2 linked regions of the Oryctolagus cuniculus genome follow. The protein of the gene in region 1 interacts with the protein of each later gene in a pairwise test. Links are inferred from orthologs where the notes say so. Each region holds a gene or a part of one and is shown in the gene's direction. Other genes may lie near its edges.

Region 1 (4,411 bases):
GACATCAAACTTTCTCATAGGTAGATATATTTAGGAAAAACATCACATTCAGGGGTTAGTCTTGTTTGTAGTTTTGGGCATCCTGGGAATGTCTTACTGTGTGTCCCTGTGAAGAGGAGGAACTGTTGTACCGTCTAAGTTATTGTTGCTTCGTAATAAGTCTTAGTGTCAGTCTTCTGACTTTGTTCTTCAGGATCATGTTGGCTATCGGGGATGTTTTGACTCTCCATGTAAAATCTAGAAATCGGTTTGTTGACATCCACAAAATAGTTTACTGTGATTTTCATTCACCATATTGAGGAAGCAGTGACTGAATTTTTTCCTTTTTTAAAGTTTTATTAATTTATTTAAGAGGCAGAGTTACAGAGAGAGGGAGAGACAGAGAGAGGTCTTTAATCTCCTGGTTCACTCCCCAGATGGCCGCAACGGCCGGAGCTTGGCTCATCCTAAGGTAGGAGCCAGGAGCTTCCTCTGGGTTTCCCACATGGATGCAGGGGCCCAAGGACTTGGGCCATCTTCTGCTGCCTTCCCAGGCCATTGGCAGGGAGCTGAATTGGAAGTGGAGCAGCCAGGACTGGCGCTCATTTGGGATGCCGGTGCCACAAGCAGAGGCTTAACCCACTATGCTACAGCGCTGGCTGCAGTGACTGACTTTCATATATTAACCTTGTATCCTGCAACCTTGCTATCATGGCTTATTCGTTCCAGGAGTGTTTTTGTTTTGTCTCTGTTTTTGATTTTTGTAAGCAATCATATCTGCAACAACAGTTTTATTGCCTCCTATCCAAGATGCATATAAGTTTGACATTGAGTATTGGAGTTTTTTAATGAAATCTATAAAAGTCAAGGAATGTGCAATGGCCACAGCTCTTCCTTGTTATACTCAAAAGTCATCATTTCCCTACCACCCCAAACATCCTCTTGTTAAATTTTAAACTGAGGGGCTGGCGCTGTGGTGTAGCAGGTAAAGCCACCGCCTGCAATGCCAGCATCCCATACGGGCACTGGTTCGAGACCCACCACTGGCCGTAGTGGCCATTTTGGGAGTGAACCGTGGATGGAAGGTCTCTGTCCCTGCCTCTGCCCCTCTCTAACTCTGCCTTCCAAATAAATAAATGAATCTTGAAAAATAATTTTAGACTGAACTTGCACATTGTTGACAATGAATTTATGAAGATGTCTTGTGAAAAGGAAATGTAAAACTTGACAGAGGCAGAAGTCAGTCACTTTTTTTTTATTAGGTTTCCATTTATTTTATTTCCTCATAAGCCATGTATTAACATACCAAGTTTGAAAAAGTAGAAAGGCAAAAATTAAGCTCTGCTTCTATATCCTTTATTAAAAACGATAAAAAAAAAAAAACTAGCTCCAGCCTTTTTGTGAATGTTGAATAACTGAAGGTTCTGTAATGGTTTGAGAACTAGAGTCTAACTGGGAAGACGCACTGAACTTTCTGGCTTTACTTTTTATTTTACTTTCTCTCCCAGCAGCCTGAGGGAACTGGCATGATAGACGAAGAGTTCACTGTCGCCAGGCTCTACATCAGCAAGATGAAGTCAGAAGTCAAGACGATGGTGAAACGCTGCAAACAGCTAGAAGGCACACAGACCGAGAGCAACAAAAAAATGGAAGAAAATGAAAAGGAGCTAGCAGCATGCCAGCTTCGCATCTCCCAAGTATGTGTTACAGAACAAAGTATCCTCATTTTTTTTTAACAGCCACGTGGAAGTAAATCAGTATATTTTATTTATTATAAAAGCTTTCAGAAAAATGAGTCTCTAGAGTAACAATAAAATGTTAGTTTTCCCTGTACTACTACAGTGTGATAGTGCAAATGATTTAGTCGGGTTATAGCTGTCAGTGTGTGTGTACTAAGTATGGAAATGTACTAGAAAGATGCGAATGGTATGATTTTGGAGGACTCTAGAATAATTCCAAAGTGGAGAGTACTACCAAGGAACGGTTTCTGGCATTTTTGGCCACTCAGTGAGTGGGATCATTCCCCAGATAGAATCTGTGCAAGGAGGAGGAAGACTGTGATATTAGATGGAGAAAATTCTAAAAATACTGTCTCATATTTCAGCCTTTAGTCCCTTAGTTTGCACGTGGTAGAAGCTCTACGCATGAATAGTGTATTGATAAACTCTATCATTTTAAAATTTGACCCCCTCAACATGATACCTCTGCATATGTAATATACTTAGATATTACTGTACCTCCAGATATTCTTAACAACAAAATGTGTGTGTGAGGTTTTTCTCCTGTTCATATCAGTGTATTTCTTCCAAAAGCATGAAGCCAAAATCAAGTCATTGACTGAATACCTGCAAAATGTGGAGCAGAAGAAAAGGCAGCTCGAAGAATCTGTCGACTCCCTCAGTGAAGAACTAGTTCAGCTTCGAGCACAAGGTATTAGCTCCCAGTTTATGTTCTGTGTTAATCCTTCTTGCCTTTAGGTGATTGTAGTAAACTTGTATTCACACTGATAAAGAACAGTAGGAATATGGGTAACTTGGAATAGTAAACATCATATATTTTAAGTTGCCTTTGAAACATTTTAAAAAAATTGTGTTTGAATATATAAATGGCCAGTCTAGGAGTTTCCTGTAAGATTATGAAGTTGTTATGTGTGTGTGTGTGTGTGTGTATGAGGAGACTTAAAGATCTCTTGTATATAAACCTTAAAGTAGATTTAGAAACTAACTTCTTTGCCTACCATCCCTTTAACCCTCTGTTCTGGGGTTAGGCAAAGAAAAAACAATGCTTAATATCAGCACAAATATAGTAGTCAACGCGTTATTGAGCCTGGAGTGCAAGATTTACTTTGTGATATTTGGATAACTTAATTTTGAGTGTTTCTTGAAAAACCTATTTCTCATAAGACCCATTTGTCCCTTTGGCTTACATGATTGGTTTATATGAGGACTCTTTTAAGACTTTGTTCTTCTGCTTTCTTTCCCTAACTAAACAGAGAAAGTCCATGAAATGGAAAAGGAGCACTTAAATAAGGTTCAGACTGCAAATGAAGTGAAGGCAAGTTTGTTCTTAGATTGGATTCTGATGGCTTTAATACATTGTTACTGATTTTGATTAGTCTGACTCTAACATTCTTTCCCCTCAAACACTTTAGCAAGCCGTTGAACAACAGATCCAAAGCCACAGAGAAACCCATCAAAAACAAATCAGTAGTTTGAGAGATGAAGTTGAGGCAAAAGAAAAACTTATCACTGACCTTCAAGAGTAAGTATACTTTTCTTTTCTCTCACATATTTGAAACTAACTGCAAAAAATTCAGAGGAAATAATGTTACTAGTGGTCAGTATGTCCTTACTTGAAACCTGTTTTCAAGGAAATTCTATTTTTTGACTTGGAAAATAAAGAATTTTCACACTGTAGAGTAAAATTTTTAAAAAGTTCTGAAAGATTTTCTTAGGTTGTTTGCTCTAAATGCTAAGTTAAAAAAAAAAAAAGAGAGAGAGAGAGCCTCAGCTTAAACTCATTATTGCATTCTCCCTCAAATCATTTAACTTTTTTTTTTTAGATTGATTTATTTACTTGTTTATTTGCAAGGCGGAGTTACAGAGGCAGAGAGCGAGAGAGAAAGAGGTCTTCCATCCACTGGTTCACTCCCCCAAACTGGCCACAACAACTGGAGCTAGGCCGATTGGAATCCAGGAGGCAGGAGTCTCCTCTGGTTCTCCCACATGAGTGCAAGGGCCCAAGGACCTGAGAGTTGGATAAGAAGAGGAGCATCCAGGACTCGAACTGGTGCTCATATGGGATGCCAGCATTGCAGGCGGCAATCTTACCTGCTACACCACTGGGCTGGCCCGCTTAACTTCTATTTCTTTGTTTTTTTGATTCTTAACTGATAAAATTTTTATTAGAAATTAAGGGTTTAGAGGTTGGTTTTTGTTTTTTAATAGAAGTCGTCCTCTTAGTTTACCTAGAAGACATTTCTCTACTTCGGTAATCATGTTCACCTACATGGGATGGGTGTAATGATTTGAATAGAAACCAGAAGATGGCAACAACAAAACAGAAGTTTGGGGCATAGATCTAACTAGTACTTAACGAAAGCAGTAATAAGGATTCAAGGAAATGAAAGACATGGAAAAATGAAATCATAATTTTTATTTAAAACATGAAAAATATTGGATGACCAAAAGGTCCTATCTCTTTCTGCACCTATGGAGGACAGGATAACAGAAGATATTTTGAGTGTCTGAAAAATGAGATGATAGAGTTCAAAAAATTGGGACAACGTTTAGCCTTAGCAGTTAAACACCTGCGAGTCCCATATCCGAGAACCTGGCTTCAGTGCCCACCTCTTCCTGGCTCTAGTGTCTTACTTGTGTAGACCCAGTGTGACAGAGGTGAGAGCTCAGGTGGTTGGGATGCTGCACCCGCA
Region 2 (4,411 bases), on another chromosome or scaffold:
CGCATCAGACCCACTGTGCTGCTCTGGGTGTCCCTTCCCGAGCTCTGTGCTGTTACGGGCCCATCTTGGTAGTCTGTGTGCAGTTTCCGGGTTGTCTTGGGAGGGAACTCACAGGTCACCTGCCAGCCTTGCCATCCAGAGCACCTCAGCCTATGCTCGCCTGCTCTTCCGTCCCATCTCCCTGGGACATCTGTCTTCTCCAGCTCTTTAGTTTGTTTATAAAAATAATAGACTTTGGCCTGGGCAGTGTCCTGACCAAGCGCTCAGAACCAAAGAACCCTCTGAGCCTTTTGATTTTCTGTTACTCCTCTACTGTTCAGTACTCTTCAGAGTGTTCCTCCATTCATTCTGAGGGAAGATTTCCTTTTTAAAAATGTGTCTGTTTCTGAAAAGCAGAGAGACGAGAGAAAGATCTTCCATCCTCTGGTTCAGTACTCAGCTGATCCAGGCCAAAGCCAGGAGCCAGAAACTCCCCAGCCAGGTCTCCCTCCCAGGTAGGTGGCAGGGACCCGTGTACTTGAGCCCTCTCACCTGCTGCCTTCCAGGGTGCACGTTTGCAGGCAGCTGGGTGGGAAGTGGAGGTCAGCTGGAACCCGGGCTCTGTACCGTGACATGCAGGCACTCCCAGCTGTGTCTGAGCCACTGTCCCAGACACCCGCCCGCCCCGGGCGGGGAGCGATCTCTCCTTCCTGGTTGGTTTGCAGAAGCTGGAGTTCGTCAGGAAGCCTCGTCAGGCGTGTATTCTCCTGGCAAAGGTTCCATCCAGTGGAAACGGCCCAGTGGTAGTGTTGGTGTTCCTGACCTGCCCACCCTCTCGAGGTGGCGGCCACGTGCAGGGCAGAAAGCAGGTGCAAGGATTTGCCACGGTCCTATCTCGGTGGCTTTAGCTTGGTTGTCTTTCGCTTTGGGTTCAGTTTTGGTTTTGTTGCTAAACCACAATGAAAAGGATTGGGGTTAGGGTCTTAATTTCCTGAGTTTATGTAGGTACATTCCCATGGTAACTATTATAGGGAAGTTTTACAAACAGGCATCACTGAAAGTAATAGTTTTGAGTAAGTTTTTTACTAAGATTATATGTCACAGGGCCAGTGTTGTGGCACAGCTGGTTAAACTGCTGCCTATGCCATTGGCATCCCACATGGAGTGCCAGTTAGAATCTCACCTGCTCTACTTCCAATCCAGCTTCTGTCGCTCCCCGTCTTCGTGGAGGAACGACACAGGACCCTGCGCTGTTCTTTCGTCTGCTCGGCCCTCCCCGGGTTTGCTGCTGGTTCTTCCCGGGTTGGCTACTATCCCTTCCACGGAGGGAATGGCCACATTCCCCACTTCCGCAGGGGAGCGGCACACTGCCGGCCGGTTCTCTCGGGGGCTGCACAGATGTTCCCCTTAGATGTTCCCCTTAGATGTTCCTGGTGCATGCCGTCTCTCTCCTCCTTTATAGTCCTCCTCTGCCAATCCCAACTCGGCTGCCCACACGCCGAGTACGCTGCTCTCCAATCAGGAGCAAGTCCTACAGTTTATTGGTTGAACTGGAGGCAGCTGTGCAGAAGCTGTTTACTTCTCTCCCAGCGCCATATTGTGGGAGAGCAGATGCATAGAATAAGTCTTAATTCCAGTAACTCAGTCTAGTCCGGATTGCTCCCCACAAGCTTCCTGTTAATGCACCTGGGAGGCAGTGCATTATGGCCCAAATACTTGGGTTTCTGCCATCCATATGGAAGACCTGGATGGAGTTCCTGGCTCCTGACTTCAGCCTGGCCCAACCTTGGCTGCCATGGCCATTTGGGGAGTGAACCAGTGGGTGGAAGATCTCTCTCACTGTCTCTCCATCTCTCTCTCTCTTTCTGTAACTCTTGCCTTTCAAATAAATAAAATAAGTCTTTAGGAAAAAAAGATTTTATTTCTCAGTGCATCTGATGGTTTGGCAGTTCATTTTTTAATTTTAAAGTGGTGACAGTTGCAGGTATTCTGAAATAGACTAAGTGTAATTACCTTCATTCAGATACTGAATGTGGGAACATCATCTCATTTGCATGTGTAAGGAGGACCACCCTGTGCATCTTCTTGACAACACTAATGGCAGTGGTGATGTTTTCATTTCTCTGAGCTTGTTCACAGAAACGTAAAAGTAATTACGGTTGCTTACGAAGATGCGCTTTGCATACACTTGAAGATTATATCTTATCTTTTTAAAAAACAGGAGCAGATGTCTCAAGTGTTAGATGCCATGTTTGAAAAACTGGTCAAGGAAGGGGAGCATGTCATCGACCAAGGCGACGATGGGGACAACTTTTACGTCATCGACAGGTGAGTCCCACCGGCCTCATGACTGCCAGTCAAGGAACCTTTTGTGTAAAATCTGAGCAGTTACCAAGACAGCTGCCAAGTTGGTGGGTGGCAGTCGCTGTTCCCTCTTTACCCTCTGCTGCATTCCAGGCTCTGTAAGCTGTGTGCGTGCATGCGGTGAAACCACAGCAGAGCGTGAAGGAGGCCTGGTTTGGGTAGGAGTTGGTGGATGTTGGTTAATTTAACCTGTAAATCTCAGTCACTCAGTGTGCACATCTGATTGTTGCTAAATTATGAGAGAATGGTATGTACTAGCATCCGTGGTCGTAGGTACTAATTAGAGAACAGAAACTTAATACAGCAACAGCTAGAATGTTAACTCACAGTGTAACTCTGTATGTGTTATGTTTTTAAGAAGCTTCTTTTTTTATTAACTGTGAAAATAAAGCATGATTTTAAACAATACAGTTCTTAGGAAGGGCAGGCTTAAGGTGAAGAGTTAAGCCATTTTTCTCAACGCTTCTGCCTCATCCATACACCATAGTGCATCTGGATGTATCCTTCCAGAAATTGCTTGTGCATTATTATATCTGTCTTTGAAAACTCTGTGGAGGGGTTATTATAGTTAGATGAGAAGGCATGCATGTATATTGGAAACCTGACTTCAGAAACCCGAAGTCATGCTTCAAGCCATCTAAGAACGATGCACCTGTGCGATAAACAGAGGAGTCCCAAGGGAGACCCAAGCCTCTGTTTCCTCATCTTAGTGAAACAGTGATGAGTGTTCGCAGGACCGCTGGCCTCCGGCCTGGTTTGCTGGATTGCGTTTGTCCTCTGCGTAGATGTGTGTTCAGCTCCAAGGCCTCGGTGACAGCCCTGGGGCAGCGTCTTTTATGCATGAGTGTGTGCTCTGTGAATCCAGGGTCGCCTCATGACCCTGGTGACCTGTAGCTCCGGCACCAGCCTGGACCTTGGAACAGAGCAAAGCCAGTTACCCCACAAGTAACTCCAAGGCATGGCTCCGGTGTCACCGACAGCTTTCATCCCCTGAGCCGCCTCAGGGTGCTTCCAGCTCTGTGTGTTTCGCTGCAGGGGAATCCGAGAACCCCATACAACACAGTGTGCCTCCCTTTTTTTTTTTTTTAAGTGGGTAGTTTTGACTCTAAAATCCTCCTTGGATTTGTATGTGCTACCTCTCCTTTTCACTAGATCCTGTTGATCCCTTTCTCAGATGAAGGTAAAACACTCAGATGCACACAAGGGCTGAGACTTGGTCAGGTCAGCCAGGTCTCCCGGCCCTGTTGCTCCTTCCCCAGCCTGCACTGCCTGGTGCCGTGCATTTTCAGGGAAGAAACCTGTAGGAACAGCAGCACACGAGAACTCGCGCGGACTCACTCCTGCTGTGATTGCAGGAGGACTGGCTACACATGTACGCGATATCCTTGAGACAGTTGTCCATGAATTATTATTATTATTTTTGACAGGCAGCGTTAGACAGTGAGAGAGAGAAACAGAGAGAAAGGTCTTCCTTCCGTTGGTTCACCCCCCAAATGGCCGCTACGGCTGGGCTGGGCCGAGCCGATCCAAAGCCAGGAGCCAGGTGCTTCCTCCTGGTGTCCCATGCGGGTGCAGGGCCCAAGCACTTGGGCCATCCTCCACTGCACTCCCAGGCCACAGCAGAGAGCTGGCCTGGAAGAGGGGCAATCGGGACAGAATCTGGCGCCCCGACCGGGACTAGAACCCGGGGTGCCAGCGCCGCAAGGCGGAGGATTAGCCAAGTGAGCCGCGGCACCAACCCATGAATTACATTAAAAACCAGTTGGTTCTTTTCTTTTACTCATGAACCTGCTTTTCTCCTATGTGTTTCTAGAGCCCCTAGTGTTCCTTTATCAGTTACAGTCTTCCTTTTCTAATCGGAAAAGCCACTTTTTTTTTTTTGCCACCATCACACCCGTTTTGTCTTTGCTAGGGCTGCTAGGGCTTAACGAGCACAGCAAAGCCCAAGAATCCCTTCTGTGTGCCCTCACCTGGGCTTCAGCAAGCCTTGGAGTCACGCTGTGTGTGGGATGACACTGTCCACTCCAAGAATGTGGCTGAGAGCCAGATGGCGTGTGGTCCAGTGGCC

The links.
Region 2: the proteins of KIF5B (region 1) and PRKAR2B interact in binary tests that used the Homo sapiens proteins (3 or more experiments, as listed by UniProt). The two-hybrid records come from large-scale screens. The link is inferred for Oryctolagus cuniculus from reciprocal best matches to the Homo sapiens genes KIF5B and PRKAR2B.

Annotation. Positions count from the first base shown.
Region 1 is NC_091444.1:102,452,495-102,456,905, reverse strand, and holds part of KIF5B (kinesin-1 heavy chain), read left to right. Parts: intron 1-1,487; coding exon 1,488-1,676; intron 1,677-2,291; coding exon 2,292-2,409; intron 2,410-2,971; coding exon 2,972-3,033; intron 3,034-3,130; coding exon 3,131-3,240; intron 3,241-4,411. UniProt on the Homo sapiens protein: Microtubule-dependent motor required for normal distribution of mitochondria and lysosomes. Can induce formation of neurite-like membrane protrusions in non-neuronal cells in a ZFYVE27-dependent manner.
Region 2 is NC_091434.1:137,089,741-137,094,151, reverse strand, and holds part of PRKAR2B (cAMP-dependent protein kinase type II-beta regulatory subunit), read left to right. Parts: intron 1-2,200; coding exon 2,201-2,307; intron 2,308-4,411. UniProt on the Homo sapiens protein: Regulatory subunit of the cAMP-dependent protein kinases involved in cAMP signaling in cells. Type II regulatory chains mediate membrane association by binding to anchoring proteins, including the MAP2 kinase.